Saccharomyces cerevisiae S288C: one gene and its partner. The protein of the gene in region 2 interacts with the protein of the main gene of each other region in a biochemical or structural test. Each region holds a gene or a part of one and is shown on either strand. Other genes may lie near its edges. The genes, in order: TRR1 and TRX3.

What was found.
Region 1: of the proteins of TRX3 (region 2) and TRR1, one has a biochemical effect on the other in vitro, tested with the Saccharomyces cerevisiae proteins (one study listed by BioGRID).

What each region holds. Positions count from the first base shown.
Region 1 is NC_001136.10:1,181,486-1,184,802, reverse strand, and holds TRR1 (thioredoxin-disulfide reductase TRR1), read right to left. Parts: upstream 1,505-3,317; coding exon 545-1,504; downstream 1-544. Other genes in the region: TRP4 (anthranilate phosphoribosyltransferase), read right to left, coding at 1-56; YPQ2 (Ypq2p), read right to left, coding at 2,049-3,002. UniProt on the Saccharomyces cerevisiae protein: Central component in the thioredoxin system. Reduces thioredoxins 1 and 2.
Region 2 is NC_001135.5:257,266-260,461, reverse strand, and holds TRX3 (Trx3p), read right to left. Parts: upstream 885-3,196; coding exon 501-884; downstream 1-500. Other genes in the region: chromatin-silencing transcriptional regulator TUP1, read left to right, coding at 1-151; AHC2 (Ahc2p), read right to left, coding at 1,193-1,579; SRB8 (Srb8p), read right to left, coding at 1,808-3,196.

The DNA of each region.
Region 1 (3,317 bases), on a different chromosome or scaffold from region 2:
TGCGGCGGAGAAGCCAATAATTTCTTGGTGTAAGATAGCAAAGTCGCCTCGGACATGATAAGGGAATACTAAGTTTTCTTGTGATTATTGCAGTTTAAATTCACTTAGTTGTCAGTAGCTGTAATATCAGATGCTTTATTATAAAGTTTTCCAGAAGAATGAATGCAACAGAGTTTATGTTTACTGAATTGTCTGGTCATGAATCATTTTTTAGAGAGTCAATCTGCGTAGGTTTTTTTTTCCTTTTGGCAAAGACGACAAGAAAAATGCAGGTGGGGAAGCGCAGCAATAATATTAGTCATAACTTAATAGTCGGTGTATAGGCAACCACGCGTTACAAAGTAAGCCGATGGCCTATGTCATGTGTCTAAAAAGTTTAATTCAGACACGCAATATATGTAGATTATGTATTGGCTTTCTCTAATAATGGGGAAAAGAAATAAAATTCATGGTTTGCTTTTTATTAAAGAAAAGGAGAAAGTAACGATTTGTTGGATAAGTATACAAAAATTTGAGTGTATCTATTTTATAATGGAAAATTCATCTATTCTAGGGAAGTTAAGTATTTCTCAGCATCCAAAGCGGCCATACAACCAGAGCCAGCAGAAGTAATAGCTTGTCTGTATTTAGAATCCTGAACATCACCAGCAGCGAAAAATCCTGGAACGGAGGTTAATGAGCTGCCTGGGACAGTTTTAATGTAGCCCGCTTCATCAGTGTCGACTTGGCCAGCGACAATCTTTGTTGCTGGAGTGTGGCCAATTGCATAAAATAAACCGCTGACTGGCAAATCGGTTTCTTCATTCTTTTTAGTGTTCTTAATCCTCAAGGCATTCAATAATTTACCATCCCCCTTAGCTTCTAGCGCAACAGTGTTGTAAAGGATTTCAATTTTTTCGTTCTTCTCAGCACGCTTTTGCATAATGGTAGAAGCACGCAAATGGTCTTTTCTGACAAGCATAAACACTTTTGAGCCGTACTTGGTCAAGAACTGAGCTTCTTCACATGCAGAGTCACCACCACCAATGACGGCCAATGGCTTGTTTCTGAAAATGGGGACGGCACCATCACACACGGCACAGGCAGAAATACCTTTTTGCCAGTAGGTTTCCTCGCCCGGCAAATGCATTCTCTTAGCAGAAGCGCCTGTGGCCAAGATTATAGCGTCAGTCGTCACAGGTTCTGCGTCTTCGTTAAATTCGGTCCATAGCTTGAATGGTTTGGAAGACAGATCAACTTTGGAAACTGTTTCCGTGATAATTTCAGTGCCAAACTTCGTGGATTGTTCTCTCATTCTGTCCATCAGTTCGCTACCTGTTAGACCATCTGGGAAACCTGGGAAGTTTTCGATTTCTGTAGTGGTGGTTAGCTGGCCACCGGCAGCAATACCGTTCGCCATCATACCTTCATATAGGATTGGCTTGATTTCTGCCCTGGCCAAATAGATGGCGGCGGTGTGTGCAGCTGGACCTGAACCAATGATAGTAACTTTGTTGTGAACCATTATTGATAATATGATGTTTACTTTCGTACTGTTCGCTATTTGCTGTATAGCACTTGTAGGCAAGTATAACTGAACTACAGAAATTAATCTACAAGCTCTTGAAACCTCGAGCAGTTGGGTCCACTCTTATACGCGTGGGCATTTTTTCCTTTTTCGAGATACTTGCGGGCGATTTTTTTTCTCCATGACTAAGGAGAAGCTAACCCAGCCAAAACCCGCCCCCAAATGGCTAGGCAAAGTGAAAGATTATTAATCCAGAACAGAATGAAACACTTACTGCCGTACTGTATACTGAAGCGTTCACAGTGAATACATAATAACTTTCATTATTAATATTAGTGTGACAAACTATATGTGTTTGTAGCTGTTGCGAATGCAAACAAGACATAGACGGTTTTACGTAAAACTGGCGCTAACTATAGTTGGGTACTTTTACACAGAGTACGAACGTAGTATTCCTATTGGGAAAAAAGGGTCTCGCAAGGACTATCCCAAGAGCAGAGTGCATTGTTTAAATATAAATGGTAGTACTCCGTAGGGAAAACTATGTTTGCGTTTCACCAGACAACAGTGATGTACGTTCTGTCACTAGTTGCGCTGCACTGTCTTCTTCAGGACTGTATAGTTCTCTTTCCAGTTCACGTAGTTGCATATCAGTTGCATAAAGGATATAGTATTGGTAGAAGTATATCAAATCAAACGCAATTGTTCCAGCACTTCCAAATATAAAGGGCAACTCATTCACGATGAATTCCCTCTTGTTCTGATTATCTAAAAATCTACAGCTTGTGAAGATGCTCAAATTATACGTGATATTGCAGAGTAGTGTAGTAGCAAATAGGAAGGGAGATAAGCCGTCTGTAGACTTTCTATTGTAATTCTTGATTAGTTGTGGGATACGTGCGCCTACGTAGAAGGAAGCGCCAATCCAAGATAAAATTGTACCCAGCTGGCTGTTTTTACCATCTCCGGGAGGCCCCACTTGTGATTGGGTGGAGCCTACATTTAGCGGATATGCGCTAGCTGTACTTATAGTATGAGCTATAGCCAAGGCTGCTGTAATGGCAGACCTTCTTCTACTGCTTCTAGGGCTTTCTGCACTGCTACCACCTTGTATCATGTCCTCTTCCTCCCTCAAAAGCTCACCATTTTCAACCAGTTCGGGAAGAAGAGGTTTAGGCTCATGGCCGACAGTCGCCAATTTATTTTCATGCAGCACGCCATAGTAATAATATTGACCACATACAAAAGAATCATTCAATAGAAAATAAATTGCTAAAAGTATCTGAAATAACAATTGCCCTGTTAGCTTTGCCCCTATCAGCGAGGTAATATCCCCACATAACCAAGCCAGCAAAAAATATGGCGATAGCCCATCGACAGATTTATCTCGATAAGTCTCAATTATTTGTGGAAACAATGAAATAACAGAGGTGAAGAAGGATAATGATCCGCACAAATTAGATACAGTAGGCCAGATGCCGTTTGAGCACGACATGAAAAGATTCTTATTTTCACTTTATAATTTTTAGCACCGATAACAACGAACCTTATCGATTGATATCAATAGATACTGGCTTAAGGTAATGAAAAGATTGCTTCTTTATTTGTCTTTGTTGGAGACGAATATTAATGCCTGCAAAAAGTACTTGACGTTTATGTGCACGTTTACGTTTGTTTTTTTTTGATCCCTCCTCAAGCGAAGAGATATACTAAAAGATATACTTAGTGATAACACTGGTACCTATTGTCACTACAAATCACTGAGCGAAATCTTTTTTCTTCGCGAACAATTTCTTCCATGCTGCGAAAT
Region 2 (3,196 bases):
GTTATTGATGTTGCAAGGTCATAGGAATTCAGTTATATCTGTGGCTGTGGCAAACGGGTCTCCGCTGGGTCCAGAATATAACGTTTTTGCTACTGGTAGCGGTGATTGTAAAGCAAGGATTTGGAAGTATAAAAAAATAGCGCCAAATTAAGAACAGAACACAAAAGGAACACTTTACAAATGTAACTAACTAAACTATTCTTCAATTCATTGTCATTATATCTTTCTCTCTATTCTTTTTTATCTACTTATTTGTTATGTTATGATCCAGGTACGCTTTAAAACAAACAGTTACTTTCCTCACCATTCATCCCTTCCCCTCCTTTTCCTGTGTTTCTGAATATTGCGGTTCATTATTCTTTGATATGAATTTATTTGTGTATTGTATAAGCTTACTTTCCTTTTATATGTATATGTATATATATATATATATATACTATCTTTTTTCTTATATTTAAAACTAAAAAAAAAAAAACTACATGTGCTCATGAATATAAAATTTATAGATCTTTGATTCCCTTCTCTAAAGCAGTAGGGTTAGCTCCAATGATCTTGCCGATGAGTTGGCCATCCTTGCCAAGAACAAAGGTGGGCATAGCCGTCACTTCACACTCTTTGGCAATATCTGGTGATTCGTCCACGTCGCACTTGACAAATCTTACATCTGGATAAGCCTGAATTAATTTCGTTAAGTGTGGTTGCATCATCTTACAGGGGCCACACCAAGTAGCATAAAAATCGATGACTAGTTTATCATTTTGCTTGATCAAATTCCTAAATTCTGTTAGGTTCGTCAATTTAGTAATACTGGTGTATGAGGACTGGAATCTTATGCTTTTTAGCGGTCTCACCGCCATCCTCATCACAGGCTTATAGAACAACATAACAGCTTTGGTTTCTCTATGTACTAACCAATCCTGCTTTCTTTGGTTAGGGGGCTAGCTCATTTTATATCTCATCGGGGCAATTTTTTCCATCACAGAATACTAGGCAACAAAATCTGCAGAAGCACAATCCACATTTGGAATTAAAAGATAGTGAAAAATGTACATGAACCCCAACCAGTAACTTAAACATAATATTTTGGGTCACTATATCTAGGGCGTTGTTCTTCTTTGTGATTTATGCAATATACGCATATATGTATATATATATAAATATATGTTTAAAAATGTCCATAGCCGCTATTTGATCATAATAAGCCATCTTCATACAAAGCCAACAATTGATCGTTCTCTGCTATATAAGCGTTGATATCTAGGGCAAACTTGTCCCAGTCTATCTGGGGAATGTCGTCGTTGCTAATCCATTTTTGCTTTTGAAATCCGTTCTCTACAGTGAAAATTTCTCGCAGTAAATCCCTATTCTCCGCCAATACATCAACAAATTCCTGGTAATTCTTGGTATTTTGAATTTTGTGGAAAAGAGAACACAGATTCTTGACAAAAGATTCTCTTTCGTTAATAAGCGTCTCTAGCTGTGTTCTTCGTTGTTGCAGTACGATGTAATCGAGATCTTGATGCAGGTCAGTTTTTTGAAACTTGGCCACAGCATCGTGCGTTCCCTTTGGGGTGATCATTCCAGTTTAAATAGACTGGTACACGCTAGTACTGATCTTGTAAGCGGATGAGCACTTTGTCTTAATCCTCCTTAACCATCGCTCATAAACCCCAGTTTTATAATCGGTGGCAAACATGTCATTTGGTACGGTATCATTTAGAGGAATCAATTGGTTGGGTATTAAAACTGACACATAATTACTGTTATTGGTAAATTTATAATTTATCCATTTGGATATATTCTGAGATCAATGTGGATTTTTCCTCTCAAACCGAGCATCAAAAAGACTCAGGTTTACACAGGAATCGTTAAACGCAGTCGTATCATTACTGCCTGTAGCCATGTCATCTGTGTACTTGGTATTATAGTTGGAGATGAAGTGGTACGGCTCCATGGAAAATGTGCAGACATATTTATGATCTTTCTTGTCATAAATGAGCCATTTCTGTTCGTTTTCGTGCGCTATTTCAACTATGCCGATTCCTAAATTTAAACTAAACGATTCTTCTTGGTCTGCATCTTCTTCTTCCCCGTAGTCGCCACTATGAAGTTTTGTTTCCTTAACGAAAGAGGACACTTGGAATGGTGGTAAGTTCAGCAATTTCTTCGGTAGTTCGACCTTACCGCTTGTGTGGAATGCTGGGGCATCAATTGTGGATGAATAGATGGCGAATGATTTCAATGAAGACAAAATTTCGTACAAGAACAGCTTCAATCTTAAATTAAATGATATTTTATCAAACAGCTTGCATATGCTATCAATGAATGGACTTGTGGGTTTATCAGCTGATAAATCAGCGATGATGCGTTGGAAAATGGAATCCTGATGAAAGCTAAAAATTTTCAAGACGGCATCTATTTGGATTTCTCTCTTAGATAAATTTCCTTCGTTCAGTTCACTTAATTGTCTTATGATCTTTATTAGTAAATGATAGTTCTCCATGGAAATAACTATCATACCAGAAGTTTCTCTTTGAAACCTCATCGATAATGACGTTATAATCTCGATCACCACAACGATGTAATTATCATCTATCTTTTGGTTGTTGTTTTGCAAACAAGAAGTGCAGAAATCTTTCTCCACTATTTGGGTTATCATCTCAATGGTCTGCATATCCTTCAGTTGGTCAAATATTTGTGAACATAAATCATTAGAATTAGTTATTTCGATAATTTGGAATATGAAGTTCTTCAAGTCTTCCATTGCCATTGCTGGCTCATTATTCTCCATGATTTTTTTGATGCAGAAACAGGTAAACGCTTGGAAAACCCAAAGATTGGCAAAGTCCATCATAACGTAATATTCTACATGATCAATTTCGTCGACTGTGTGATCATCATCGTCACTTTTATCATCGTTGGTTACAACAGTGTCATTGTCTGGTTGTCCACTACCCAATGGAATATCGTTAAGATCGGTTTCCGACGGACAAGTTGAGTAGTACAAAATATCCTCCAAAATATTAGATGAGTTTTCCACGCTATCATTCAATAACAACATAATGATTTTTGTAGATGTTGCAAGTAATTTGGGAGATGACCCATAAGTTATTAAAATTTTCAATAGGATCTCATAATAATTTATTTCACATTCGTTGCCATGATATTTTTTTTCTAATTCATAACATGTAAGTAA